Linked DNA regions of Oryctolagus cuniculus. The protein of the gene in region 1 purifies or fractionates together with the protein of each later gene. This does not show direct contact. Links are inferred from orthologs where the notes say so. Each region holds a gene or a part of one and is shown in the gene's direction. Other genes may lie near its edges. The genes, in order: VAPA, RAB3GAP1, RASSF1, VCP, PITPNM1, PITPNM3 and STK3.

Region 1 (4,035 bases):
TGGGAATAGCTAGGCCATTTTGCTCTGGTCTTTTTATCGCTAACCCTACCCCTTTTAACAGTCTGACCATGGCTTCTCAAGACCCACCGTCCTTTTCCTCAGCTGTCACCCTGGAAGCTGTGGCTGGCCTCAGCATTGTTTTGGCCCCTTTTGCTTCTTCCCTTCTTGACATTCTGTGCCCCAGCTGTGCAGAACTGTCTAGGACTTCCCTGTCCTCCACTGTAGCCACCCTCACGTGGGAATGTCAGCCAGAGATGTACTGTGAATGTAAAATACACCCTGATGTTGAAAACTTAGAACCAGGAAGAGAAACGCTTTTTAAAAATATAGTTACATATTTAAAAATTTTGAAAGTATTGATAAAATATTTTTTACTTTTTTTAAAATTTGAGGGTAGAGGTATTATTTGAGAGACAGAGAAAAGGGTCTTTATCTGCCAGTGCACTCCACAAATGGCCACAGTGGCTGGAGCTGAGACGATCCAAAGCCAGGAGCTCACTCTGATTTGGTCTCCCATGTAGGCACAGGAGCCCAAGCACTTGGGGCATCCTCCACTGTCTTCCCAGGGCATGGCAGAGACCTGGATTGGAAGAGGAGCAGCTGGGACACAAACCAGCGCCATATGGAATGCTGGCGCCAAGTCAGAGGCTCAGCCTACTACGCCACAGCGCTGGTCTCCTAATTTTTTATTTTTTACAATATGCAGTTAAAACATGTAAAATGATGTATGCAACTCATACTTGAGGCTTATATTTGTGTTGGGCAGTGTTGGGCTGAATTACTTGACAGAGCCTGTCTTCTCACTCTCACATTAGCAGGAGCTCCTCCTTCTGACTGTACGGCCCTGAAATCTTGTTCCTAACCACAGAACACATACACGTGCATTCACAAAGGCACTCCGTTTTCACCCTTTCAGTCTAGTTTTCTCCCTCCACAACAAGTAAGATGGCATTGTATTTGTCCTACACAGCTTACTACATTTCTGCTCTTATTTGTTGGAGATCTTTCTCCCTTTATTGGACAATGATTTCCTTGGGGACAGACTGTTTTATTGTCTGCGTTCACAGCTCGTGCATGTAGTAGTCATTTCATGTATTTGAGTGAATAAGGGAATGGGCTGGTGAAGGAGGACTGATGTGAATGGGGTCTGTGAATCATTTGTCTCTAACAAGTGATTACTTGGTTCAAGATCTGAAGACCTTTACATTGCTTTTTAGGCCTTGAAAGTTTTCATATCAAAGTAGATGATACAAAGGTTATTTAAGCTAAGTTCTGGGAGTTCATCTACATTTGATGATTCCTTCTGTTAAATGTGTATAGGAACTGTACTCAAAGGCGCTGTATCTAGAGTTGATGTGTGAACTCTAAAGGATTTGTGATTCGAGTTTCTGTGACTCTTCATACTCCATAGTACCTCCTTGAGGGCTGTCAAGCCTTAGCACTTGTATGGATAGTGGGAGCACTCTGTTTCCCACTCACACTCCTTGGACTTTAAGGATGCTATTCTTTGTTTTTTGCCTATAATGACTTCCACATTTTGTTCTTCTATGAAATATGTGTTCCTTAGGGTGCTCAGTAGGTTTATATAAAAAGCTGCCGATTGTCTCTTGGCTTGGAGGGGAGAAGTGGAGACTAGGGTGGCACAGGACTGGAACTAGGAAGACAGAATGGGGAGGTAGAGGACTGAGACTTTATTCCTGGTCTCTGCTCTATATTAGGGGTGGGGAGCATCCAACCCGTAAAATCTTGTGCTGTGGCCTTGCCAAGGCAACTGCAGGTGGGACTTGAAATTCAGTAAATCTATAGCAAAGTTGATAATTTTGTATGGTCTTCAAATGATGGTAGAAATATCCAAATGATCCGTGGTAGAGAAAAGATTCTGCATCCCTGCTTTCCATGGTGCTACTCTACATGAGATTTTATTTGAAAGAAAATCCTGCTATTTAAAAACCAAAAGAACATTGAAGACCACTGGCTTATAGAATTGGGTTCAGGCCCTTTTGATATTTCATTCACAGATACATCTCAGTACTACTACTTTTTTTTTTTTTTTAAGATTTATTTATCTGGGCCGGTGCCGCGGCTCACTAGGCTAATCCTCCGCCTAGCGGCGCCGGCTCACCGGGTTCTAGTCCCGGTCGGGGCGCCGGATTCTGTCCCGGTTGCCCCTCTTCCAGGCCAGCTCTCTGCTGTGGCCAGGGAGTGCAGTGGAGGATGGCCCAGGTGCTTGGGCCCTGCACCCCATGGGAGACCAGGAAAAGCACCTGGCTCCTGGCTCCTGCCATCGGATCAGCGCGGTGCGCCTGCTGCAGCGCGCCGGCCGCGGCGGCCATTGGAGGGTGAACCAACGGCAAAGGAAGACCTTTCTCTCTGTCTCTCTCTCTCACTGTCCACTCTGCCTGTCAAAAAAAAAAAAAAAAAAAAAAAAAAAAAAAAAAAAGATTTATTTATTTATTTATCTGAAAGAACTACAGAGAGGGAGAGACAGATCTTCCATCTGCCCGTTCACTTCCCAGATGGCTGCAGTGGCCAGGGTAGGGCTAGGCTGAAGCCAGGAGCTTCCTTCGACTCAGATCCGTGTTCCATCCCCAAAGCCATAGGTCTTTGAAAAGATTTTTAGCTCTCATTTCTGTGCATATTTGCTTTTAAAATCTGTGTTTTCTTTTTTCCTAGGATGAAGGATTAAGGCTCAGAAAGGTAGCACATTCGGATAAACCTGGCTCCACCTCAACTGCATCCTTCAGAGATAACGTCACCAGTCCTCTCCCTTCACTTCTTGTTGTAATTGCAGCCATTTTCATTGGATTCTTTCTAGGGAAATTCATCTTGTAGAGTGAAGCATGCCGAGTGCTATTTCTTTTTTTTCTCTTGACCAGAAAAGATTTGTTTACCTACCATTTCATTGGTAGTATGGCCCGCGGTGACCATTTTTTTGTGTGTACAGCGTCATAATAGGCTTTGCCTTTAATGATCTCTTACGGTTAGAAAACACAATAAAAACAAACTGTTCGGCTACTGGACAAATTGTATATTATCAGATCATCACTAGCAGATGTCAGTTGCACATTCAGTCCTTTATGAAATTCATAAATAAAGAATTGTTCTTTCTTTGTGGTTTTAATAAGAGTTCAAGAATTGTTCAGAGTCTTGTAAATGTTATTTTAATAATCCCTTTAAATTTTATCTGTTGCTGTTACCTCTTGAAATATGATTTATTTAGATTGCTAATCCCACTCATTCAGGAAATGCCAAGAGGTGTTCTGTGGGGAAATGGTGCCTCTTACAGTGTAAATTTTCTCCTTTACCTTTGCTAATATCATGGCAGAATTTTTCTTATCCCTTGTGAGGCAGTTGTTGACTGAGTTTTTTCATCCTTACAATCCTGTCCCATGGTATTTAACATAAAAAAAAATAAAACTGTTAACAGATTCTTGCTCGATAGCCTGTTTGTGTCTGTCGTGTCATTGAGGGGGAGGGTGTCAGGGTGTCCACTGTGTAGGGTAATTTGAAATTTATAATGCTAATTTTGCTCTTGCATTGAAAGTTTTTTGGTTGTTACAGTATTTGTAATTAAAAGTTCTCATTCTCTTAAGGAAAGCAGTTGATGATGTTTCAAGCTATGTTTGATATTTTGGGAGATCATAATCATTAGTTTGTAAAAAAATGAGATAAGCAATGCCAGGAGAATAAAAGTGCTGTACTTGTAGTGAGGTTCTCGTATGCCATGGACTGCCTTACCTTTACTCCATCCTTATCATGTTCTTCTCAAGGAAGACTTATTCTCCTCGTCTAGTAATTCTTTATAATATCTCACAATTATAGTGAAAACTAGGTGTTTTTTCTGCCGCCCAATTTGACATGTCATTTTGGCAATTACTGAGCAAGCCTTGGGAATTTCCTTTGTGACAAATGGCTTTATCCTTGACAAATCTTAACCGTGTGAAACATACTTTCAGTATAAATACACATTAGAGGGTCTGATACTTTCCTGCACTTAGTCTGATGTCATTTATTTTGTCCTAGGATAGGAAATTT
Region 2 (4,035 bases), on another chromosome or scaffold:
CATGTATTTTGTTTTGAGGGAAAACATCTTTAGACTTCACTATAATTTCAGATATTAAACATTACCCATAATTTTGGTACAGTTATATTTTGGTGTTTTACTTAATCAAATGAAAGATTTTAGTTAGCATGTCTATTGCTGTGGAGAATCATGATATGAAAATATAAAATGGTGATTGATCCAGAAATGTTTATGGTCTTTCATTTGCCAGTCTTTGTGTAGCTGGATTCACTCCTAGCTTTAACCAGTTTGCTCTGGAATCTGTTACTAACCCAGAAGTGTATACAATGTGAAGGAGAATTGCCCAGCTTGCTGGGAACCTAGCAGCTAAAGACTAGAGACAGTATGGGGTCTGTTTGGCAAAACAGAGGTAGAATTCTTGGTTTTTATAGTAAGAATCCACTATGATAATTGACAACTGAATATATAGACTGATTGACTTTGTATGATATGAAATATTGTATGCTGGCTATTTCCAGGAATAAATCTGGAGATTTTTTTTCTCATTTTAAATTTGTATTAACCTGAAAACTATCACTAGTTTGTCACTATGTTTTGAAATAATGTTAAATTTGCTGTTGATGATTTTTAGACTAGGAGGATAAAATGAATGTTGGTTTTTTCATTAAAATGTACTCCCCATCTGGATCTTAGTTACCCTACCTATAGAAATCTGATTTTGATTGCTTATCAATAGAGCTAAAAATTTTAGTACTATAAAAAATAAGTATATCTGAAGCATTTTTACTAAAACTTAACTTTCTTTTCTCATTATTTTATTTGATAGATTAGCAAGTGGACCCCCAGATCTAAGATGTTGTTTACTACATCAGAAACTACAGGTAAAGATGTCCCACAGACTATATAAATGTGGTCTTGACTTCATCAGAGCTTATTCAAATACTTAATAGAATAATGCATTATAGGCTATTCTCATTGTGCTGCTGTCTGTTGCTTATCATCACTGATGATTCACATCAGGGGTGAGGGTCAGAGAATGAATTATTCAGGTGGTGAATAGATTTTTATTTTTGTGTAACTAATTCAACTATAAGTGTTATTTTTGTTTTCTTAAGATGTTAAATTGTTGTATTGAAAGAAAGAAGGCCCGTGATGAGGGGAAAAAGACAAGCACTTCAGATAACGTCACTAATACATGGTCAGTGGATGCTAGAAAAACTGGAGACCAGCTGGGGCCAGATAATCTCAATGATGCAGATAAGGAGAAGGGAGAGATGGGAAAGTCTTGGGATTCCTGGAGTGACAGTGAAGAAGAATTTTTTGAGTGCCTAAGTGATACTGAAGAACTTAAGGGAAATGGACAAGACAGTGGCAAGAAAGGAGCCCCTAAGGAGATGGCAAATTTAAAGCCAGAAGGACGTCTCCATCAGCATGGGAAACTTACACTGCTGCATAACGGAGAACCTCTCTACATTCCAGTTACCCAGGTAGGATGCACTGGCTTTCTCAGTTTATTTTTTTATGTATGTAATTTCATTCTGGTAGGAACTGATATCTTAGGGTAAGGGAAATTCCTTATAAAAAGTTGATGTTTAAAGATTTAAGATTTGAAATCTAAATAGATTTTATTTTTTAGGTCATGCCATGTTTGAATTTGAGAAATGTTTTAAAGTTTATAAGTAGATAGTATCTCATCATGCATAGGGTATCTATTTCTTAAATTGAGTGGTAGATACACAAGTGTTTGAAGACAAAATCCAAAAATATGGAAAGGAAAAAACAAAAATTATTCATCGCTTCAAAAATATACTTTGGAGTAATTTTATACTGTTAGGACATAGAACAGCAACATTGCCAACCCTAAGGAAGAAGAGTTTTTGTTGATTTGTTTTCGTGTAAATAATAAATAGCTATGTTGTGAAAAATTCAATCTAGAAAAAGATGAAAGCCAGTACCCAGTAACTCATCTCTAATCCCTAAAAGTAACCTCTGTTTTTGGTTTGGATTATATTTCTTACACCCGTTTCTAGGCATTGGTACACATATCAAAAAGTTCATGAAAAAATCAAAAATTCATCTTGGTCCAAAAAGCCTTGAATTTCATGCATATGAGTCATCCTATCAAAGGTCAAGAAATGGGGCTGGTGCTGTGGTGTCCTGGGTTAAACCATTATCTGCAGCACCAGCATCCCATGTGGACACCAGTTTGAGTTCTGGCTGCTCATCTTCCAATCCAGCTCTCTTCTATGGCCTGGGAAAGCAGCAGAAGATAGCCCAAGTCCTTGGGCTCCTGCACCCACATGGGAGACCCAGAAAAAGCTCCTGAATCCTGGCTTTGGCCTGCTGCAGCCGCAGTTGTTGTGGCTGTTTGGGGAGTGAGCTAGTGGATGGAAGATCTCTCTCCTCTCTTTCTGTCTGTCTCTGCCTCTCTTCCTATAACTCTGGCTTTATTTATTTATTTTTTTTAAGATTCATTTTATTTATTTGAAAGAGTTACAGAGAGAGGTAGAGACACAGAGAGAGATCTTCCATCCGCTGGTTCACTCCCCAGATGGCCACAACACCCAGAGCTGTGCGGATTCGAAGCCAGGAGCCAGGAGCTTCTTCCAGGTCTCCCATGTGGGTGCAGGGGCCCAAGGACTTGGGCCATCTTCTGCTTTCTCAGGCCATAGCAGAGAGCTGGATCGGAAGAGGAACAGCCAGGACTAGAACCAGCACCCATATGGAATGCCGATGCTTCAGGCCAGGGCTTTAACCTGCTGCACCATAGCGCTGGTCCCAACTCTGGCTTTCAAATAAATAAATGAATCTTTAAAATGGAAAAAAAAAAAAAAAGAAACATGTATTATGAAAAAATCGTGGATTTTAAAATATTTTTTTGTCAAACATTTTTTAATTCCGTGTTTCGATGAACTTTTTGAAATACCCTCATACTGATAGATATTTTATGGACTTATTTTTGGTTTTTGTGTGTTTAAGATTGATTTATTCAAAGGCAGAATGACAGAGAAAGGGAAAAAAAGAAACAGATCTTTCATTTGCTGCTTCACTCCCCAAATGGATGCAATGGTCAGGGCTGGGCCAAGCGGAAGCCAGGAGCCTGGAACCCCCAAGCTGGGTCTGCCATGTGGGTGGCCTTCCTCTGTTGCCTTCCCAGGCACATTGGCAGGAGACTGGATCAGAGTAGCTGGTACAAGAACTGAAGCATGACTTTGTCTTAACCCCGCTGCTCCATGATGCCAGCCTGTTTTTGTTTTTAAATGTGTGCACTGGTGTGTAACATTTTGTTTAACAAATATGTCATGAAGATCTTTCCATGTTACTACATTGTAGACTCCTTAATTTTTCATTGCTGTGTAATATTTCATGGCTTAGAAGAGTTTTGTAGTTCATTTAACCATTCCCCTTTTGATCACAGTATTTGTTCTATGCCAGTTTTATTTGTACCTTGTGTGTTCCTGTATGAGTGCTGCTTTAAGGAGGATAATGAGAAAAGGAATTGCTGGGTAAACTTACATATGAGTTACTAACTTCCTTTTCAGAAAAGCTGCATCTGTTTTAAACTTTCATCTGTGCTGCATGTTAAGGGAATAACAATTCTCTCTCCAATTTTCCTTCCTCACTTTCTTTTCACAAGTACCTAATATATGTCAACTATCATTCTAGACTTGGGGAATTTGTAACCAGCTAGACAACAAGACCTTCACAACTGTAGTATTTTACTTTGAATTTTTAAATAATTGATGTTACTTTTAAATAATTGATGTTATGAATCATAGAAATTTTTGTCTATAATGGTGAAAAATAAGTGTTTTAGATTTTATTTTCCTGATTTTTGATAAATCTAAGCATCTTTTATTTATTGAGCATCTTGTCCTATGAATTGCCTTTCATTTATTCTTTTAGGTTGCTATCCTACTCTTAATTCATATGAATTCTTCATATTTCAGATATAAATCCTCATATACTCGTATATTATATTTTCTCAGTCATTTTTTTAAATGTCTGTTACTCATTAAGAGTTAGTACATTGTTGTATAGAGTTTGGTGAATTGTTTCACATTTATACGCCCA
Region 3 (4,666 bases), about 32 Mb from region 1:
CGCTACTGCCTCACGAGTTTTGCCAAGGGACAGCTTCTCAAGGTAGGGGGCTCCCCTGCACCAGCTGCTCCAGCCCAGCGCCACCCCTCCCCATCCCATCCCCTCCCCACCCCCACCCAAGTCCTCCTTCCAGACCTGAGCTTCAGGTGACACAGCCAATGCGACACAGGCCCCGCAGGTACCCTCAGCCCAGCCCAGGCCTTCCCTGGTCCCTGGCCCCGGTCCCCTGGCCGGCACCAGCTTCACCCTGGCCTCCCCCGGATTCCCTTGCAGCTTCGGCCCTTTCTCACAGACACCCTCCTGGACCAGCTGCCCAACCTGGCAGACCTGAAGAACTTCCTGGCCCACTTGGCCCTGGTCGAGCCCCAGACCCCTAAGAAGGACCTGGTGTTAGAACAGGTAGGCCGCCGTGGGAAGCCCGCTGCTCGGGACCACGGTCCACTTTGCCAGCTCCTCCTCGGCTACTCTCCGCTTCGCTTTCCTAGATCCCGGAAATCTGGGAGCGGCTGAAGCAGCAGAACAAAGGCATGTGGCAGGCCATCGCCAAGCACCAGCTGCAACACGTGTTCAGCCCCTCGGAGCACGACCTGCGGCTGCAGGCAGCAAGGTCAGGCCTGCTGAGCGGGGATGGGCGCCAACGGGAGCCGAGAGGCATGGGTGTGAGCGGGGGTGCCCCCGGCCCCCGCCTGCCAGGCCCAGCCAGGCCCCGTGACCCTCCGGCAGGTGGGCTGAGACGTACAGGTTGGATGTGCTCGAAGCGGTGGCTCCGGAGCGACCTCGCTGTGCCTACTGCAGCGCAGAGGCCTCGAAGCGCTGCTCGAGATGCCAGAATGAGTGGTACTGCTGCAGGTGAGGTCTGCTGGGACCGCGGACCCCTGAACCCCACCCCTGTGTCCCCCACAAACACTGCCAGCCTCACCAGCCCCCCTGCCAACAGGGAGTGCCAAGTCAAGCACTGGGAGAAGCACCGGAAGGTTTGTGTCCTGGCTGGGCAGGGCGACAGAGCCAAGTGAGGGCTGTGCCTGCCTGCACAACGGCCAACCACCCGGGCCAAGGCAACCCACCCCAAGCCTCACGATCTCATCTGGCTCCTGCCGCTGGTGCGCACAGCAGAGATCTGCTGACCCACCCCCACCCCCACTTCCTGCCCCACCCGCGGGTAGGCGGAGGGCGCTGCCTCAGCACACTGGAAGGGAGCCGGATGTGGGGACCCTCTCCCTGTAGCACAATAAAGCTGGCCCCCAGGCACACGCCAGTCTTGGTGTTACGCTTTGCGGTCGCGGTCGTCGTTGTCGTCCTGAGCGGGTGTGAAGGAGGGGAGGAGAGAGAGAGAGAGAGGGCAGGAGCTCTGTGAGAGCGTCCGACCCGCCCCGCCTGCGGGCCAGTACGGTCCCCGAGCCCAGGTTTCCATTGCGCCGCTTGCGCCGCTCTGCTCGACTTTTTCCCGCCGCCCAGCCTGGATCCTAGGGGCGGCGCCGAAGTCCCGGCCCGCCCTGTAGCCCCGCCCGCCTCGAGATCGCTAGCGCCCAGAGCCGGCCGAAGCCCCGGCCCAACTGGGCCATGTCGGCGGAACCTGAACTCATTGAGCTGCGGGAGCTGGCACCCGCCGGCCGGGCCGGCCCGGGCCGCACCCGGCTGGAGCGTGCCAATGCGCTGCGCATCGCGCCTGGCACCGCGCGCAACCCCGCTAGGCAGCTGGTCCCCGGCCGCGGCCACCGCTTCCAGCCCGCGGGCCCAGCCACGCACACGTGGTGCGACCTCTGCGGCGACTTCATCTGGGGCGTCGTGCGCAAGGGCCTGCAGTGCGCGCGTGAGTAGCGGCCCCGCACACCAGCGAGAGCAGAATGGGTACCCGAGGGGCAGCTGCTTGCGAGTCCAGGCTCGGTGGAGGTGGTTGGCGGGGACGGTCCCGCGGACCGGGTCCGTTACCTTTGCTCATCACCAAAGAGAGTGCGGGGTGGGGAGAGGGGCTGGTTTACCCCTTTTGGCAGTCCACCCGCGCGCGGCTGGGGCACAGGGGAGCAGCCACCTCTGTCCATGAGTAACGGATGCTGACTGGAAGCTTCTTGTCTTTTAAGGCCCCTGGCCCTTCTTGAGAAAGGCTCTGTGCCTACTGTCCTCTAACCCGCACTCCCAGACTGTCTCTTCCCAGGGATTCACTTGCCGGGTCCCCCTCCAGAACCCTGGTGTGAAAGGAAACTGTGCCAGGCAATGGACAGGGGATGGAGAATGTTGGGAACTTGGGCAGCCCCCTCCCCGCCGCAAGCAGGGGGACCTGAGTCAGTCTGTAGCAAACACCTGTTTCAGGCCGTGAGCCAGGTGAACATGGAACCCGTTACACCTGCGCAGGCCTCACGTAGGGGTTGCTTTCTCACCGGCAGTGCGCCAGTTAAAATGGCCTAGGGAGCTTCTACAGCTTTGCAACCCCCTGTGCTGGATCCTGCTTCAGCTGCTGGAAGCGGCCCAGGCATCAGTAATTTCTTTTAAAAAGCCTCCAGGTTATTCAATGTGCAGCCTGGATTGACAATCACTGCTGAGGCCTATTTAGGAACTTGGGGGGTGGGGGCAGGGCTCAGGCCTGTGTGCAGGTGGAGAGCCTCGCACCGGGCACAGGTGCCTGTCAGGAATTCAGTGCAGGCTCTGGGTGGGGGTGGGGGACAAGGGAGAGGATATTTCATTGCTCTGGAGGCGAAATCAAGTGACAACCGTGATGAGAAACAGGATAGTTTGTGTGTGGAGAGAGAAGGGAGGGACCATAGGTGAATTCGGGGTTTTGCCTGAAACAGCTGGGGGAACAGTGGCTATTTTTACTGAAGAACCCTGGCAAAGGTAGGAGACCCAGGAGGCAAGTGAGTTAAACATTGGCCGTGTGTGTCTGAGATGTCTGTGAAGGTCCTGGCTCACAGGGGGAGGTTGGTGCTGACTGAACCTTGGATCTGGGGCAGGCGACCGTAGACCGGCAGGGGAGCTGCAGGGAAGTGGAAGACTGGCCGGAGGGGTAAGAGAAGGGAGGGGAAGGCCAGACGCTAGTGTGGACGGGTGTTGCGGTCCGAGGAGACAGCTGGTACTAGACGGGACGTGGGTTAAAGGTTTTTCCTTCGAAGTGCGAGCGTGGTGGGAGGAGGGACTCCGCGCTAGACGTTACAGACCCAGCCGTTGAGCAGGCCTGCATCCCTAACCGCCCGGAGCTTTTCAGACGCACGGGATCCACCCTAGAGGCTGTAGCGAGGCCGGGTACACAGAGCCTGGCGGGCCACGGCCCGCAGCCCCGGGCTCCTCTGCAGTACCGGAGCCACGGCGGGAGCCTCACCGCCGGCCCTCTCCCGCAGACTGCAAGTTCACATGCCACTACCGCTGCCGCGCGCTCGTGTGCCTGGACTGCTGCGGGCCCCGGGACCTGGGCTGGGAACCCGCGCTGGAGCGGGACACCAACGTGGTGAGCGCGGGGTCGAGGGGAGCAAGGGGCGGGATGGCGGGAAGCACAGACGGGCAAGGAAGCCCCAGGGCCAGCGCGAGCGTTCTAATGGCCGAGTGCCCGGCACCAGAGAGTGGCTAACTGCGCGTGGGCCTGGAGGGGGGCCCGGGGGTCCGGTCTCGGCGCGGCCCCGCGGGCAGTCATCCCACGGCCGCCGAGGCGCGCCAGGCTCAGCGCACGCGCACTCCGCACACCATCCCACACCCGCTTCCGGGCCCGAGGCGACGTTGGTGCACATGCGCACACACGCGGACGCGCTCCCGTGGGAGGTGGGGCCTCCGAGGCCGGGCTGAGTGGAGCTGCCTGGGCGGTGAGGTCATTCTAGGCGGAGACGCCCGAGCGGTTGCCGCCCCTCCACGTTGCTCCCCCAATGAGACAAGAGCTGGGGCCCAGCTGTCTACGTTTCAGTCTTAACGGTTGCAGCTGGCGCGGGGGACGGCGCAAGCGCACACCGACCCACGCGTACACGCACGCACGCGCCGCGGGCGGAGGTTGGAGGGGACGGACGCGCGGGACGGGGGCACCGGGCTGGCGCGGCCATGGGCGAGGCGGAGACCCCGTCGTTCGAGATGACCTGGAGCAGCACGACAAGCAGTGGCTACTGCAGCCAAGAGGACTCGGACTCGGAGCTCGAGCAGTACTTCACGGCGCGCACCTCGCTGGCGCGCAGGCCGCGCCGGGACCAGGTGGGGGCCGCGGGTGCTGACCCCCTGGGACGCCGCCCTCCCCGGCGACCCGCCGCCGCGGGAGCGGGTGGGCAACCCCGGCTTCCCGTCGGCGTGGCGCGGCACCGTGTGTCGGGCTCTCGGCTTAGGGTCAGAAGTGGGTTCCGGCGCCTCGGTGCCGGGTGCGAGGCGCGCTCGCTGCGTCGCTGACCGGTAGAACCGGGAGGAGCAGCTGTGTGGCTTGGGGCAGAGCGGAGAGCGGCATTCCCCACCTCTGACTCAAGCCGACTGTGCAGTGTAGACAGGCACCTGGATTCCGCGTTTGCGCGCGCCCGTTCCCTCCCCGGGGGAACTGGAGGAGGAAGTGGGAGGGGAGGAGTCCTCGCCGGGAATTGAGAAGGGGGGTGGGGGGTGGGGTGGAGGCGCCGAAGGGAAGTCCGGCCTCTCCCGGCGGCTCTTCTGGATGGAGCTAGCTGAGGCCCCCCGGCCCTGGCCCGTCACCAGCTGCCAGAATGCGGAGGACTCC
Region 4 (4,035 bases), on another chromosome or scaffold:
AGAGAAGAGAGGTCTTCCATCTGTTGGTTTAGTCCCTAGATGGCCGCAACAGCCAGAGCTGCACCGATCTGAAGCCAGGAGCCAGGAGCTTCCTCCGTGTCTCCCACGTGGGTGCAGGGGCCTAAGGAATTGGGGCATCTTCTACTGCTATCCCAGGCCATAGCAGAGAGCTGGATCGGAAGTGGAGCAGCTGGGATTATAACCAGTGGCCATATGGGATGCCGGCACTTCAGGCCAGGGCTTTAGCCCACTGTGCCACAGCGCCGGCCCCTAAATATTTATTTTAATTTTATTTGAAAGGCAGAAAGATTTTACATTTCTGATTAACTCCCCAAATGCATCATCTAAGGTTGGGCCAGGCTAAAGCCAGAAACCTAGAACTCAATCTAGGTCTCCCACGAGAGTGTCAGCCACCCAAGTAGTTGAGCCTCCAAGTACTGCTGCCTCCAAGGGTGCACATTAGCAGGTTGCTGGAAGTGGAGCTGGGATTCCAGCCCATGCACTTTGAAATGGGATATAGGCATCCCAAGGGGTGTCTTAATTGCTGTACCAAAGGCTTATTGTTCTTTTTTTTTTTTTTGAAGTTTATTATTTATGTATTTGAAAGTCAGAATTGCAGAGAGAGATCTTCATCCGCTGGTTCACTCCCTAAATGGCTGCAGTGGGCAGGGCTGGGCAAGGATGAAGCCAGATCTAGGAGCTTTATCCAGGTCTCCCACATGGGTGCAAGGGTCCAAACTGCTTGGGCGATCTTCTGTTGCCTTCCCAGGTGTGTCAGTAGGGAGCTGGATCAGAAGTAGAGCAGCTGGGACTTGAACCAGTACCCATATGCAGACAATGGCTTAACCCACTGCACCATAGCGCCAGCCCCCAAGGCTTTTTTTTTTTTTTTTTTTTTTTTTTTTTTTTTTTGTACAAATTTCATAAGTACAACTGTACAACTTTAGGGATATAGTTATTCTTCCCACCATCCACCATACCCACCTTCCCACCCCTCCTCCTCCTCCTCCTCCTCCTCCTCGCTCTCCCCTTGCCAGTCCCATTCTCCGTTAAGATTGATTTTCAATTAACTTTGTACACAGAATATTTCAACAATTTGCACACACACATACAAACTGAGAACTAGTTTTACAGTTAACTCTGATATACAACTCACTGAGGACAGAGGTCCTGCATGGGAAGTTAGTGCACAGTGACTCTTGTTGTTGATTTAACTATTAACAGTGCTTATGTATGATGTCATTGACTACCCGAGGCTCTTGACATGAGCTACCTAGGCTATGGAAGCCTTTTGAGTTCACAAACTTTGTCAATATTTGGACAAGGCCACAAGCAAAGTGAAAGTTCTCCCTTTAGAGTAGAGTACATCCTTCTTTGATGGCCACTTCTTTCTGCTGGGGTCTCAGTAACAGAGATCCTTCATGTAGAACGTTTTTTGCCACAATGTCTTACCTTTCTATGAAAGGCTCATTCTTAATGGTGTCAGAATTGAATTCTTTTTTTTTTTTTTTTAAGATTTATTTATTTATTTGAAAGTCAGAATTACACAGAGAGAGAGAGGTCTTCCATCCGATGGTTCACTCCCCAATTAGCTGCAACGGCCAGAGCTGTGCCAATCGGAAGCCAGGAGCTTCCTCCGGGTCTCCCATGCAGGTGCAGGGGCCCAACGACTTGGGCCGTTTTCCACTGCTATCCCAGGCCACAGCAGAGAGCTGGATCAGAAGTGGATCAGCTGGGACTTGAACCGGCACCCATATGGGATGCTGGCACTGCAGGCCAGGGCGTTAACCTGCTGCGCCACAGTGCCGGCTCCCAGAATTGAATTCTAATTCTCACCCTTTCTAGAGTCCTAGTCAAGCCAGTTTGAGGTGAGTGGCGTTGAGAAGTCAGGAGTCTAATTCTAATTGCTCTTATGTTGGTCCCCAGCCTCCTCGGGGAATCCTGCTCTATGGACCTCCTGGAACAGGGAAGACCCTGATTGCCCGAGCTGTGGCAAATGAAACTGGGGCCTTCTTCTTCCTGATCAATGGTAAGAGATTTGATTTGTCTTGTGTCTGTCTAGAACTAGCCCTGGCCTGAACAGCTCATTGATAACATCCATTTGCAGCCATGCTCTCATGCACACTTTAGCATCTTTTGCTGGGGTACATTATAGACAGGTCAGCAACAAGTGGGAGATTTTTTTTTTTTTTTTTTTTTTGACAGGCAGAGTGGACAGTGAGAGAGAGAGACAGAGAGAAAGGTCTTCCTTTTGCCGCTGGTTCACCCTCCAATGGCCGCCGCGGCCGGCACGCTGTGGCTGGCGCACTGCACTGATCCGATGGCAGGAGCCAGGTGCTTCTGGTCTCCCATGGGGTGCAGGGCCCAAGCACTTGGGCCATCCTCCACTGCACTCCCTGGCCACAGCAGAGAGCTGGCCTGGAAGAGGGGCAACCGGGACAGAATCCGGCGCCCCGACTGGGACTAGAACCCGGTGTGCCAGCGCCGCAGGCGGAGGATTAGCCTAGTGAGCCGTGGCGCCGGCCAAGTGGGAGATATTTTATACTGATACTTTTTGTCTTTTCCCCTCAACCTAGAAAAAGTTGTGTACATTTTTGTAAGGAATATTTATGTATTTAAAAGAGTTACAGAGAGAGGGAGAGACAGAGATCTTCCATCCGCTGGTTTACTCCCCAAATGACCACAAGGGCCCAGTCTGAGCCAGGCTGAAGCCAGGAGTCAGGAACTTCATCTGGGTCTCCTATGTGGGTGGCATTTAGGCCATCTTCCACTGCTTTTCTAGGCCTTTAGCAGGGAGCTAGATTGGCAGTAGAGCTGCTGAGACGTGAACTGGTTCCCATATGGGATGCTTGTGTGGCATGGTGATAGCTTTACCTGCTACTCCACAATGCCAGCCCCAAGATATTTAAGGGGGAGCAAGTTGGAATTAAAAAAAAAAATAAAATAAAGGTATGATGCCTATTTGAGAGGCTTAGGGAAGATGGGCCAACACCACCTGTCTCTTAGAGAATGTTAAGCTGTAGAGATCCAGCTTGTGTGATGTCTCCTGCTCTTGCCAGAGACCTTTACACTTTGAAAAAAATGTGCTTGGTTTCTCTACCCCAGCTTTGTGGCTGTCCTGGGTGATAGCTGGCATTGGTGAGAAGGTAGACGGAAGTTAGTATCTTCTCATCCAGGACCTATCCTAGGGCAGATAAGGTAACTGATTTATTTTGGGACTGGGAAAGGTTGTAATTTTATCATTGTCTTCATTTTGTTTTCTTTCAGGTCCTGAGATCATGAGCAAGTTGGCTGGTGAGTCTGAGAGCAATCTTCGTAAAGCCTTTGAGGAAGCGGAGAAGAATGCTCCTGCCATCATCTTCATTGATGAACTGGATGCCATTGCTCCCAAAAGAGAGAAAGTAGGAGTTTACCCGAGGGAATGGTGGGAGGTTGAAAGGTCCTAACATTGCTTCTGACCAGACATTTGTCCTGCCAGACTCACGGGGAGGTGGAGCGGCGTATTGTATCACAATTGTTGACCCTTATGGATGGACTAAAGCAGAGGGCACACGTGATAGTTATGGCAGCAACCAACAGACCCAACAGCATTGACCCGGCACTGCGACGGTTTGGTAAGGACTCCAGCTTCCTTCACCCTTTCCTTGCTCATAGAGAGATTATAGATCTATTGAGTTTAATCTCTATCCTTCATCTGAGTCACCTGATTTGATTATGAGGATTCCTTGAAGTTTTTTTGCAGTGGTAGGGCACAAGGGTCCTTGTATCCTGTATCCTGTCTAGAGTGACCAGCCATCCTGATTGGCTTGAGACTGAGGGGTTTCCAGAGACATAGGACTTTCAGTGCTAATGCCAGTACAGTTCTGAGTTAACTGAGATGATCAGTCACTTTAGGCTTCTTCCTTTTTCCCTCTGGTCCAGAAATGAGCCCTGTCTATGTTCACACACTGTCCCACAGGTCGCTTTGACAGGGAGGTAGATATTGGAATCCCTGATGCTACAGGACGCTTGGAAATTCTTCAGATCCATACCAAG
Region 5 (4,035 bases), on another chromosome or scaffold:
GGGAGCCCCGCCGGGCAAGCACAGCCTCCTGCCCAGCTGCTGCCGGCCCCGAGGCGCCCGACGGCCCCACCGGCGCTGCCCGCCTTGACTTCAAGGTCTCCGGCTTCTTTCTCTTCGGCTCCCCACTGGGCCTGGTGCTGGCTCTGCGCAAGACCGTGATGCCCGCCTTGGAGGGTGAGCCTGGGGGCCCCTCTCCCCGGCTCCCCTTGCCTGTCCCCTCCCAGATGCCCCCCACGAGATGCTCCCCGAGATGGGGGTCAGCGGGCACCAGGAGTGTGTCATCCTGAGCCGAAGGCTCCCATCGCTTCTTGGCCGGAGCAGCGGGAGGAGCCTGTCACTGGCCGCCGCCCCCAGACTGACTCCTCCCACCCCATCTCCTGGGTGCCCAGTGGCCCAGATGCGGCCGGCCTGCGAGCAGATCTACAACCTCTTCCACGCCGCTGACCCCTGCGCCTCCCGCCTGGAGCCTCTGCTGGCCCCCAAGTTCCAGGCCATCGCCCCACTGGCTGTGCCCCGTTACCAAAAGTTTCCCCTGGGAGACGGCTCGTCCCTGCTGCTGGGTATGCCCCCAGGCAAGGCAGAGGGGACGGGGAAGGAGGCGGGTGCTAGTTCCCGCAGTGTGGGTGCCCTCTGGATCCCTCGGAGCCCCTGAGCTGTGTCCAGGCCCCGGGGCAGCCGTGGGGGCTCAGCCAGACTGCCACGCGGGCATCGGGGCGGCCGTGAGCGGGTGGTCGCTGTGTCTGGGGCTCCAGGTGCACTTGCCTGTGGGCCCCCTGGTCTGTCCCCCGGCCCCCGAGACCAGTGGGGCTGTGTGGGGACAGGTGTGCGTGTGGGGTGCTGCCTCCTGGGGTGAGCCAAGGTGGAGACAGCGCCCCCCCACTTCCACTCAGCTGAGACCCGTGGGGGTGGAGGGAGGCGGGCAGGGGTGCAGGGCCCGCTGCTGAGCTCGCGGCGCCCCGCCAGCCGACACTCTGCAGGCACACTCGGGCCTCTTCCTGGAGGAGCTGGACGCGCTGGTGCCCTCGACGCCCACCTCGGCCGGCGGAAGCTTCTGGAAGGGCAGCGAGTTAGGCGCTGAGCCCCCCGCCCAGCCAGCGGCCCCCAGCACCACCACGGAGGTGGTTAAGAGTAAGACGGGTGCCGGCCTGGGGGGAGCGGGCTCACTCCCACCGCCCAGCCCCGCGTGCAGCAGTCCTGCACAGGCGGGCAGACCCTGACTGACGGCCCCGTGTGCAGTCCTGGAGCGCTGGTGGGGGACCAAGCGCATCGACTACTCGCTGTACTGCCCCGAGGCGCTCACCGCCTTCCCCACCGTCACCCTGCCCCACCTCTTCCACGCCAGCTACTGGGAGTCGGCCGACGTGGTGGCCTTCATCCTGCGCCAGGTGGGCCTGCGGAGGGGTCCCCGGCGCCCAGGGCGGCGCAGCGCCCATCAGCTCCGGCCCGCCCCCGTCACACGGCCTCGCCCCGTGTGCCCCACAGGTAATTGAGAAGGAGCGGCCGCAGCTGGCGGAGTGCGAGGAGCCGTCGGTCTACAGCCCGGCCTTCCCCCGGGAGAAGTGGCAGCGCAAACGCACGCAGGTCAAGATCCGGGTGCGTGTCCTGCCCCTGCGCCCGCCCCCAGGAGCCGCGCCCCGCAGCTGCGGGTCTGGAACCAGAACCGCTGTCCACACACAGGCACCCATGATCCCAGGGGCCGGGTCCCCAAACGTCTCCCCCAGGCCCGTTCCGCGGGGTGGGCGCCGGGGAGCCCCTCCAGCGCCGCCTCCCCCTTCTGTCCGGGCCGCACGCACTCACCCTGTCTCCTGCCTCCAGAACGTCACTTCCAACCACCGCGCAAGCGACACGGTGGTGTGCGAGGGCCGCCCCCAGGTGCTCAGCGGCCGCTTCATGTACGGGCCCTTGGACGTGGTCACGCTCACCGGGGAGAAGGTCAGGAGCCCGAGGCCCTGCTCCCCCTCTGTCTGCCCTGGCGCAGCGCCGGCTGCCTATGGACCTCCCCGCCCGCCCCCGCAGGTGGACGTCTACATCATGACGCAGCCGCTGTCGGGCAAGTGGATCCACTTCGGCACCGAGGTCACCAACAGCTCGGGCCGCCTCACCTTCCCCGTGGCCCCCGAGCGTGCGCTGGGCATCGGCGTCTACCCCGTGCGCATGGTGGTCAGGTGAGCTCCGGAGGGCTGGGGACAGGCTGGGGCCGGCCACGCCCCGGGCCACTCACGGCCCCATGGACTACAGGGGCGACCACACGTACGCCGAGTGCTGCCTGACGGTCGTGGCCCGTGGCACAGAGGCCGTGGTCTTCAGCATCGACGGCTCCTTCACGGCCAGCGTCTCCATCATGGGCAGCGACCCCAAGGTGCGCGCCGGCGCCGTGGATGTGGTCAGGTAGGAGCCGCCACCCTGCTCGCCGCCGAGGCCCGCGGCGCCCGTGTGGCCGGCGGCGCTGACCCAAACCGTGCTCCGCAGGCACTGGCAGGACGCCGGCTACCTGATCCTATACGTGACGGGCCGGCCGGACATGCAGAAGCACCGCGTGGTGGCCTGGCTGTCCCAGCACAACTTCCCCCACGGCGTCGTCTCCTTCTGCGACGGCCTCAGCCATGACCCGCTGCGCCAGAAGGCCATGTTCCTGCAGAGCCTGGTGCAGGAGGTGTGCGGGGGGGGGGGGGGGGGCAGACCCTGGGGCACGGCAGGGGGCTCCGCGGTGCTGGGCACCCAGCCCTGACCGGCTGGGACCCTGTTTCTGTCTCCACCTGCCCGGCCTCCCCACCACAGGTGGAACTGAATATCGTGGCCGGCTATGGGTCTCCCAAAGATGTGGCTGTGTACGCGGCGCTGGGCCTGTCCCCAAGCCAGACCTACATCGTGGGACGCGCGGTGCGGAAGCTGCAGGCACAGTGTCAGGTGAGGGCCCAGGGAGTGAGGGGAGCCAGGCCCTGCCAGGGCCGAGCAGCCTGCACCCGAGGCCGTGAGGACCACTGCGCCCGTGCAGGGCCTCGGGGACCCTGGGTTCCTCCTAGGACGGGCTCGCGGCCATCCTGGCCCAGCCAGGCTGACCTGGGCGGTGACCCAGGCCAGGGCACGCCAGGCACACTCCCCCACTCTCACGGCCTGACGGTGGCCTTGACCTCAGCAACCTGTAAAATCCCAGCCACGGGCACAAAGCAAGGGCCTGCCAGATACCGGCAGAAAGACCCCATTCCCAGACGGGAAGACTGAGGCCCGAGGGAGGCAGACGTGGTAGTGAAGCCAGGACACCCTGGGCTCCCTGCGTACCCAACGGCCTCAGGGTGGGCTGTGCTGGGCCTGCCAGAGACCCCACCCCGCTGCAGGAGCCTGCGTGGACCTCACCCCTGCCCGCTCTGCCCACAGTTCCTGTCGGACGGCTACGTGGCCCACCTGGGCCAGCTGGAGGCGGGCGCCCACGCCCACGCGGCCCCAGGACCGCCGCGGGCAGCCTTGGCCAAGAGCAGCTACGGCGTGGCTGCGCCCGTGGACTTCCTCCGGAAGCAGAGCCAGCTGCTGCGCTCCAGGGGCCCCAGCCAGGCGGAGCGCGAGGGCCCGGGGACCCCGCCCACCGCCCTGGCCCGCAGCAAAGCCCGGAGCGTCAGCCTCAAGCTGGACAGTGAAGAGTGAACAGGACCCCGCCCTTCGCCAAAGCACACCAGGGCTGCGGGGGGGGGGGGGGGGGAGGGGGCGCGCCCCTGCACCTGTGTCTGCCCCTTGGTGTTACTTCCCTTTTGTGGGGGACCCAGCCCCGGGGGAGCGAGGAGGGAGTGGGTGAGGGCCCAGCGGCTTCTCCCGTGTGTGTAGACCCACGAAATAAACACCGCCTGCAGCCCACTGCACTGCCCACCCGCCCGGCCCCGCAGGGAGGGAAGGGGGGGTGGGAGAGGGGCCGCGCCCACCCAGGGGCACCGGCCAGACCTGGCTTCTCCGTGGCGCCAAGGCAGGGCGGGAGGGCTGCCCTGGGAGATGAGCCGCCTGCTTCTGCTGCCCCGTCCCCCCCAGGCCACACTTCCTTTGTGACAC
Region 6 (4,035 bases), on another chromosome or scaffold:
GGGCCAGGGAAGCCTCCCTGGAGGAGGCGGCTTCTGAGTGTATAACAGGGTGAAATGTGTGGCCTCTTACCGGCCTGGATTAGAGACCCGGGGAAAACTGTTTCACCTCTCCTTGCCTCAGTTTCCTCATCTGTAAAATGGGGGTGATAACAGTGAGGAGCAGCTCTGGAGCTGGGGTGAGGCCCCTGCACGCTGGTGTGCATGGAAAGCAGAGCGTGTGGGGACACCCCGCCTGGGACTGGCATCAGCGGCCTCCGGCGCTGCTCGCTGGCATCTCCCTGTCAGTGAGGAGGAGGGCAGGATGTCAAGGGCAGCCCCTGGTGACCGCTCGATGCCTGGGGGACAAACCAAGAGAGCAGGGGCTCCTCTGGGGCCTAGGTCCCACCCCCAGCTCCCCCAGTGCCAGGTGTGTGGAGCCAGCCGGACACACGGGCTCCTCATCGCCGACCTGTGTCACAAGGGCCCCACTCGCTGGGCCGGGAAGCTGGAAGCTGGCAGCCCTGTGAGTTGGGGAAGGGAGGAAGGTCCTTGCCCCCCGGCCCCTCCCCCAGCACGACTCTGCCAGAGCTCCCATTTGAGAGAGCTGGGCTATGTGGGCAGCTCCCAGGGCCCCCGGAGAGCGGGAGCCGGTGCTGTCCGTCAGATGCGGCACTGAGGCGCAGTCCCCTCTCTGCCCGCACCGGGTGGGTGATCTGTGTCCCTGGGACCCCCACGGGGCAGCGCTCAGAGCTAGAAGGCGGGAAGGGGCTTAGGTCAGTAGCTCGCGTCCCAGATCCCTGGTGGGGATGTCCGGCAGCGCCCCCCGGCCCCTGCAGAGGCCCAGTCAGGAGGGGGAGGAGCCCTGGAATCTGCATCTTGGCCGCCCGCTCTGCAGCGGGCATCCGCTGAGCGGATGGCGGAGCCCAGACGATCCCGGAGTTAACTGTGCTGCTTCAAAATCAGTCTCAGGACCCTCCTCTCTCGCCAACCGCCCCCTACCCCGGCCCCCATGCCTTCTGACCTCCAGAGCTGGGTCACACCTGTCTCTGGGAAGACAGATGGCCAGGCCACTTGAGGGAACGGTGACCAGGAGCTTACCCGACCCCCAGGCAGCCCCCGGCCAGGCCCATCAATCAGCCACCGTCACTGCTGGGAAGGAGTGTGTTCCCAGCTAATTAAAATCTCTCTGGCTCCGGTTGAAGCTGTTTCCTCCAATTTGAGCTCTTTTGAGATGAGGAATGGTTGGTGGGGCTGGCCCTGCACTCCGTGGGGATTCTGCTGCGTGCCCCAGATCTGGAGGGTCCCCGACCCTGGGCCCTACGTCACCCTTGGACTATGGGGGATGGGCAGGCTCTGGGCCTGGGTTGGGGGGAACCTCGCTCTGCAGTGCCTCTGGGACAGAAGCCCCAGGGGACAGAACCAAGACAGGTGGAGAAGGCAGGGCGGGCTCCTGGCGGGGGGGGGGGGGGTCTCGTGGATCCGAGCTGCCCGGGGAGGGCGGGAGGGAGGGACTTCCTGGTGGGAAGACAGGGAGTGAGGAGCGCCTCTGCAAAGTCCAGAGGAGCCCCAGGGGTGAGTACGTGGGTGGACCCGCCCTCCTAGCCCTCTCCGTAGTCACAGATGTCCCCCAGAGCTGGGGGAGCCCCACACAGTGAACACGGCGTGGGTGCACAGCCTCTGAGCTGTGATCACCTCGGGATCCCCATGCCTGGCAGCCAAGCCCACCTCCTCCAGGAAGTCTGCCGTGAGGACAGGCCCCTGCCCTGACCGCTGCCAACTGGCTCCTCAGTTGCTTCCATCCCCCACAGTTGGGGTGTCCTTGGGGGCACGCAGAAGAGGGCAAGAGGACATTGTTCTTGCAGGAGACCCCAGGAATGGACACCGGGGACTCAGTACAGGCTCGGGTCCCTGCCCCCACTGCCGCCTGGGCTCTGACACACACAGCTCCTGCCCGGGGATTCCTCTAGGGTCCCTGGGGCCGAGGACCCCATGCCTGGCCAGCAGGTGCTGTCTTCTACCCGGTCCTCAGCCCCAACCCTGCCCTCTGGCCTGGTCCCAGCTGGGCTTACCCTGGGCCCCTGTCTGCAGCCTGAACCCCTACAGCCACGACGAGGGCTGCCTCAGCCACAGCCAGGACCATGTCCCTCTGGCCGCCCTGCCCCTGTTGGCCATCTCCTCCCCGCAGTACCAGGATGCTGTCGCCACTGTCATCGAGCGAGCCAACCAGGTGTACACGGAGTTCCTCAGGTCCGCTGACGGCGTTGGCTTCAGTGGGCAGGTAGGACAGCCTGGCTGCCCGACCCGGCCCAGCCTGCGCTGGGACAGAGGCTGGGCCCTGCCCCGGGGGGACCCACACAGACCATTCTGGAACCAGAGCATCTGAGATCGCAGGAGGCTTTCAAGTTCTTGGGGTTTGCCCTCATTTTACAGATAGGAAAACTGAGGACGACGATTGGAGTGTTCATTTGGAGCCCACGCTGGTCCCTGGCTTGAGCCGGATGGCCAGCTTAGGCTGGCCCCCCAGGCCGAGGTTAACCCTTGACCCCCTGGAGGAGCACCCCACGTGGTGCCTCCCAGGACAGCTCCTTCCCTGGTCTCTGGCTGGATGGGTACCCTCTGCTCCTGCTGGGTGTGGTGGGGGTTGGCGGGGGAGGGGGGCAGGCCTGCAGCCCCAGCTCTGCCTCTTCCAGGTGTGTCTCATCGGGGACTGTGTGGGCGGCCTCCTGGCCTTCGACGCCATCTGCTACAGCGCGGGGCCCTCGGGGGACAGTCCCGGCAGCAGCAGCCGCAAGGGGAGCATCAGCAGCACGCAGGTGCGGGCAGGGGCGGGGCGGGGCGGGGCGGGGTCTGTGTCCCTGGGAGCCCGCCCCTTGCCCCACCCGGGGTGGGGGGCGGGAATTGGTGCTGTCCTTCATGTTGGCACCGGGACGCACACAGGGACTCCTCCGGGAGTATAGCTGGAGAATGAGGCCAGCAGGAGGCTGGCCCACCGGCCTCCTGTCTTTGGGGCTGTAGGAGGCAGCCCGCGCGGGGGCTTCGGCGTGCCTTTTGGCGCGGAAGGGGCTCATGCTGGCCTGGGCCGGGGCTGGGCCCGGGGTCTTGGTAACGGCCGGGCCCCCGTCTCTGCCCGGTCCCACAGGACGCCCCGGGGGCGGTGGACGAGGACTGCAGCCTGGCCGGCAGCAAGCGGCGCAGCAAGAGCAACATTGACCTGTCCAGCGGGGCGGAGGCCGCTGAGCCCAAGAGGCCGCTGCCGCGGAAGCAGAGCGACTCCTCCACCTACGACTGCGAGGCCATCACCCAGCACCACGCCTTCCTCTCCAGGTGACCGGCCTTTCCACCAAAGCGTCCAGGGCGGAGAGCACGTGGGTGCAGTCATCCGCGAGGCCCTTCCCTGCGAGGCCTGCCCTGCAGGGAGACCTGGGGGCCTGCTTCCCTGTCCCTGCTCTGGCTGGCTGGCGGGCGGCAAGTCTGGGGGCAGCCGCTCCACCTCTCTGAGCCCCCACTTCCCCTTCTGCCCAGACTGCTTCACGGAGGGAATTGGGTGAACTAGCAGAGACGGGGTAGGCTGGGAGCCTCCCCAGCCGTGTGCTTCTCATTCCTGGGAAGGTGTGGGAAGGCCGTGTGGCCTGTTGTGGGGGACCCAGGGCCTGCCTTCTGGTCTCTGGTCCCCAGTGTGGTGGGTAGGCGAGGTGGGCCCCAGCTGGTGTGCCAGCGTGGGGTAAATGGCTCAGTTCATGCAGGGTACAAAGGAGGACTGAGCGGAGATGCAGCTCAGAAGAACTCTCTCTGCTTCAGTCGCCCCCCAACCCCGTCTCTCTCGCCTGTATGTTGAGTCCATGCAGTCCGGGCAGCATTTGGAAAACAGGTCGTCCCACCACGCGGGGAGAACCACTGCCAGCGCTTTAGGCTGCTTTCTCTCCATATCTATTTGGCATATCGTTCTACTTAAATCCCAAACCTTTTATAGTGTGAGCTTTTCTCCATATAATTAAAATACTTGGCACATAACCTTGATGGCAATATACTTTATTGAGGGAATAGTCCACAGTGTAC
Region 7 (3,217 bases), on another chromosome or scaffold:
ACTGTTTATCCTTGTGTTACCCTCAGCTCATTTCTAAGTTCTTAACGCCACAGTACGTATTGATCTGAATAGCATTCTATAAATCATCATAGTCGCAAAGTTTGTGTCTTTTTTAAACCACTTGCCTGCTACCTCTGCTTTAATATTCAATTTGAAAGGAAACAGGGTTTTAGATTTTTTTTAATGTTAAGAAGATAAAAGCACGTTCAGTGACATATTTCAGGACATCTCATAAGCCCTTAGACAACATCCCTAAAATGTGTTTCTCAGGAGATAATCCATATCTTGCTGTTTCAACATAGAAATCGATACAGTAAAGCTTGGCAAAATGCCATAAATCCTATTATGCCTCAGAATAGATGTTATCGCTCTTACACACGTGACGTGAGACCTGTCTTCTGCCGTTGTCCATACCCCCAGCGTGGCCGCGCTCTGCTTCGTGTCCACACGCGCCAGGCCCACGGCAGTACTTGGGGAGCGCTGTTCGTACCAGGCTGGCACACCGGGGACGCTCATTTAAAACCATGTTTTATCAGGCTCGCCATGGGATTTCCCGACTGTGCTTAAAATGTGCACTTACGGTCACATGGAGGATCATGGCGCTGCCCAGGGCCTCATGGGACATTCCTGGGGTGACACTGCCCGTGGCCAGGCCTCTGCCGCTCCGAGCTGGGCAGGCCACCCAACAACCTGTTTGTTGGCGGGTTTGTCTTTGTGCCTTTTTTTTTTTTTTCAACAGATACATTTTTCTCCTTTGCTCTGTCCCAAAAGCAGAGGTTTTGATCATTTTGTTGCAAATTACTTGAGATTCTTACAAGATCTGGCTTCTGGGTTCTTTAGGGAATGGATTCCTGTTTGAGCTGTTGAACCATACTTCAAAACCGTTGTAAAGAATTTGCTGAAATATTTATGCTAAAACTCTTTAGTCTTGGACATACAGTAGGTGGTTTTACTACAGTAACATCTTTGTTTTCTTCTCTGTCTAGTTAAAAAACCTGAGTTTAGAGGAGCTGCAGATGCGGTTGAAGGCGCTGGACCCCATGATGGAGCGGGAGATCGAGGAGCTCCGACAGCGCTACACCGTGAAGAGGCAGCCGATCCTGGACGCCATGGACGCCAAGAAGAGGAGGCAGCAGAACTTCTGAGCCGACCTTTTCCTGTTTCCATGGCTATTCTGGAGACCAAGAAACCACTAAGAATTGAAGGAACATTGTGATTTTTTTTTGTCTTCTTAATCCCTTAGATTTACGCTCTAGGCCAAAGTCCAAAACTGATGATGGTACATACCCGGGTAACTAAAGGCAGACTCTCCAGTTGTTTCCACTGTGTTCTCATCTTTAAGTGACCAGAAGTGTGTTCTCCCCGCCCCCCCGCCCACTGCATACCAGCAGCAAAACCATGTTCTAGAACAAAGGCTATGTGTAGAGACCTTGAAAATCCAAAGCTATTGTTCCATTGTACAGCACTGAAGGGCTTTATGTCACAGTACTTTTTATTCCTATCTAGTAGCCTATTTATTGTATCTCACTAGGTAAACTTATTTATTTATGCTATTTCACATTGTCTTATTTTTTAAGGACAAGATCAGGATAGAGTAGGAGCAGGTGGGGACATTTTAATAGATAATGATGCACAACAAAATGATACTTCCAGCAGGGAGCTCTGGGCTACCTTCCTTGATTTCCAAGATAGTTTTTCAATACCAACAAAGCAATAATAGTAATAGTGCCCAAATGGATAGAGCATTTTTTATATTGAAGCAATAATTCCATTTTTACCTTTTGAGATTTTGTTTAATTGTTTTGATTTTTGATGTTTGCTACAAACAGAACTATATATATTTAGGTCAAACAGAGCTATAATGTTTAAAACCAAAGAAATCAGTGGAACCCTTGCACAAAAAAGCATGGGAAATATTTTAAAGGAAATTAAACCTTTTGACAAATGTACTTTGTTAGCGTTGTTTTGTGTTTCATGTGTAAGTCTGATAGCTAAACTGAATCAAACTGTAATAGCTCATCAAATTTATTTCCATGGAAATGCGTTCTATTGACACAGGACTTTTTGTTGATTTCATTTATTTCCTAGGAATTGGTAAACATCTTGTGCCTGATAATAAAATAGCAAAAACATTTGTACTGGACTGTGCAAGCCTTGGAGACTAGGGAAATAAAAAAGATTAAAACCGTTACAAAGAAACTCACTTCCAAGGGAAATGCGCACTGGTGAGACTGAGCTGGGACCACGTTTCCTAAGCTGCCTGTAGCTGTGCTGACAGTGTTCACTCTGGTGTGTTCGGTTACTACGTGGAAATCATGAAGACAAATACACTTCACCCAGCACTTTGCATCTCGTTATCTTTATTATCACTAACGTGGGTTTTTATTAACTAACATGGCGACTCCTCACTCAGCCCATCCCACGTGGGCGGTGCTCTGCTGCTGTCATCCACACTCGGGGACCTTGTGGTCATCACAGCCAGGGATGGGAGTTGGGGCGAGTCTCAGGCCAGCTCCAGCCTGCAGGAAAGCCTTGCCGGTCCTCAGCAACCTGGTATTCAGAACGAGTCATGAGGCCTCCCTCACTTTGCAAGGAGCTGGGAAGTGCGGCGTGCAGCCCTGCAGAGGGAGGCGGGGCGGACAGGCAGGTGAGCTCAGTGATGCCTGCCACAGGAGGTTCATCCTCCCTGGGAAGCTCCCCTTCCTTTTGAAGATGCATGAGTGCCCCAGGTAATACCAATGCAGTTAGATACAAATGATGAGATTGGAAAAATCGTGATGAATATTGAAAAAAAGGTTATTAAAAATGAAGACTGAACTTAGAATATATGTTTCAGCTCTCCCTTGATTGAGGTCTTTTGGGATCGTCAGATGAGCTGATCAACTCAAACACTCTACCCTTTTTTTTCCTAATAGATTTTCTTTTCACTCACCTGTCCAATACCTGCCTGATTTGGTTGAATCGAATGACTGATTTGCTGTCATCCAAGCAAAACCATCTCTGACACACACGCAGGTGGCCTGTGAAGATGATGCCTCTTCAGTTTGCTAAATTGGAAAATACATGCAAATTAATCCATGAGGCCTGTTAGCCACTCTGACTGCTTTGCTCTCAATGAGAGTCCTCATTTTTAAACTCTGGACCAGGCGATCACATTCTATTTTCAAAGCAAATAAATGTTATACCCTGTTGTTAAATCTGTATCTTTTTAAATCTA

The links.
Region 2: the proteins of VAPA (region 1) and RAB3GAP1 purify together in Homo sapiens (affinity purification with mass spectrometry; 4 studies listed by BioGRID and IntAct, counting the BioPlex papers as one, with this or other methods). This does not show direct contact. The link is inferred for Oryctolagus cuniculus from reciprocal best matches to the Homo sapiens genes VAPA and RAB3GAP1.
Region 3: the proteins of VAPA (region 1) and RASSF1 purify together in Homo sapiens (co-immunoprecipitation; 3 studies listed by BioGRID and IntAct, counting the BioPlex papers as one, with this or other methods). This does not show direct contact. The link is inferred for Oryctolagus cuniculus from reciprocal best matches to the Homo sapiens genes VAPA and RASSF1.
Region 4: the proteins of VAPA (region 1) and VCP purify together in Homo sapiens (affinity purification with mass spectrometry; 3 studies listed by BioGRID, with this or other methods). This does not show direct contact. The link is inferred for Oryctolagus cuniculus from reciprocal best matches to the Homo sapiens genes VAPA and VCP.
Region 5: the proteins of VAPA (region 1) and PITPNM1 purify together in Homo sapiens (co-immunoprecipitation; 4 studies listed by BioGRID and IntAct, counting the BioPlex papers as one, with this or other methods). This does not show direct contact. The link is inferred for Oryctolagus cuniculus from reciprocal best matches to the Homo sapiens genes VAPA and PITPNM1.
Region 6: the proteins of VAPA (region 1) and PITPNM3 purify together in Homo sapiens (co-immunoprecipitation; 3 studies listed by BioGRID and IntAct, with this or other methods). This does not show direct contact. The link is inferred for Oryctolagus cuniculus from reciprocal best matches to the Homo sapiens genes VAPA and PITPNM3.
Region 7: the proteins of VAPA (region 1) and STK3 purify together in Homo sapiens (affinity purification with mass spectrometry; 4 studies listed by BioGRID and IntAct, counting the BioPlex papers as one, with this or other methods). This does not show direct contact. The link is inferred for Oryctolagus cuniculus from reciprocal best matches to the Homo sapiens genes VAPA and STK3.

Annotation. Positions count from the first base shown.
Region 1 is NC_091441.1:67,121,869-67,125,903, forward strand, and holds the end of VAPA (vesicle-associated membrane protein-associated protein A), read left to right. Parts: intron 1-2,673; coding exon 2,674-2,832; 3' UTR 2,833-3,441; downstream 3,442-4,035. UniProt on the Homo sapiens protein: Endoplasmic reticulum (ER)-anchored protein that mediates the formation of contact sites between the ER and endosomes via interaction with FFAT motif-containing proteins such as STARD3 or WDR44.
Region 2 is NC_091434.1:108,467,258-108,471,292, reverse strand, and holds part of RAB3GAP1 (rab3 GTPase-activating protein catalytic subunit), read left to right. Parts: intron 1-787; coding exon 788-842; intron 843-1,076; coding exon 1,077-1,448; intron 1,449-4,035. UniProt on the Homo sapiens protein: Catalytic subunit of the Rab3 GTPase-activating (Rab3GAP) complex composed of RAB3GAP1 and RAB3GAP2, which has GTPase-activating protein (GAP) activity towards various Rab3 subfamily members (RAB3A, RAB3B, RAB3C and RAB3D), RAB5A and RAB43, and guanine nucleotide exchange factor (GEF) activity towards RAB18.
Region 3 is NC_091441.1:98,976,872-98,981,537, forward strand, and holds the start of RASSF1 (ras association domain-containing protein 1), read left to right. Parts: upstream 1-1,411; 5' UTR 1,412-1,560; coding exon 1,561-1,810; intron 1,811-2,756; exon of another isoform or gene 2,757-2,998; intron 2,999-3,329; coding exon 3,330-3,436; intron 3,437-3,493; exon of another isoform or gene 3,494-4,014; coding exon of another isoform or gene 4,015-4,161; intron 4,162-4,666. Other genes in the region: ZMYND10 (zinc finger MYND domain-containing protein 10), read left to right, coding at 1-42, 274-399, 486-849, 938-1,224. UniProt on the Homo sapiens protein: Potential tumor suppressor. Required for death receptor-dependent apoptosis. Mediates activation of STK3/MST2 and STK4/MST1 during Fas-induced apoptosis by preventing their dephosphorylation.
Region 4 is NC_091432.1:198,025,007-198,029,041, reverse strand, and holds part of VCP (transitional endoplasmic reticulum ATPase), read left to right. Parts: intron 1-1,926; coding exon 1,927-2,029; intron 2,030-3,267; coding exon 3,268-3,401; intron 3,402-3,478; coding exon 3,479-3,614; intron 3,615-3,958; coding exon 3,959-4,035. UniProt on the Homo sapiens protein: Necessary for the fragmentation of Golgi stacks during mitosis and for their reassembly after mitosis. Involved in the formation of the transitional endoplasmic reticulum (tER).
Region 5 is NC_091432.1:4,587,837-4,591,871, forward strand, and holds the end of PITPNM1 (membrane-associated phosphatidylinositol transfer protein 1), read left to right. Parts: coding exon 1-174; intron 175-389; coding exon 390-560; intron 561-963; coding exon 964-1,128; intron 1,129-1,236; coding exon 1,237-1,385; intron 1,386-1,482; coding exon 1,483-1,593; intron 1,594-1,815; coding exon 1,816-1,932; intron 1,933-2,016; coding exon 2,017-2,165; intron 2,166-2,238; coding exon 2,239-2,388; intron 2,389-2,469; coding exon 2,470-2,653; intron 2,654-2,778; coding exon 2,779-2,907; intron 2,908-3,375; coding exon 3,376-3,639; 3' UTR 3,640-3,846; downstream 3,847-4,035. UniProt on the Homo sapiens protein: Catalyzes the transfer of phosphatidylinositol (PI) between membranes. Binds PI, phosphatidylcholine (PC) and phosphatidic acid (PA) with the binding affinity order of PI > PA > PC. Regulates RHOA activity, and plays a role in cytoskeleton remodeling.
Region 6 is NC_091448.1:50,078,316-50,082,350, forward strand, and holds part of PITPNM3 (membrane-associated phosphatidylinositol transfer protein 3), read left to right. Parts: intron 1-2,067; coding exon 2,068-2,257; intron 2,258-2,669; coding exon 2,670-2,792; intron 2,793-3,118; coding exon 3,119-3,303; intron 3,304-4,035. UniProt on the Homo sapiens protein: Catalyzes the transfer of phosphatidylinositol and phosphatidylcholine between membranes (in vitro). Binds calcium ions.
Region 7 is NC_091437.1:124,029,221-124,032,437, reverse strand, and holds the end of STK3 (serine/threonine-protein kinase 3), read left to right. Parts: intron 1-986; coding exon 987-1,145; 3' UTR 1,146-2,347; downstream 2,348-3,217. UniProt on the Homo sapiens protein: Stress-activated, pro-apoptotic kinase which, following caspase-cleavage, enters the nucleus and induces chromatin condensation followed by internucleosomal DNA fragmentation.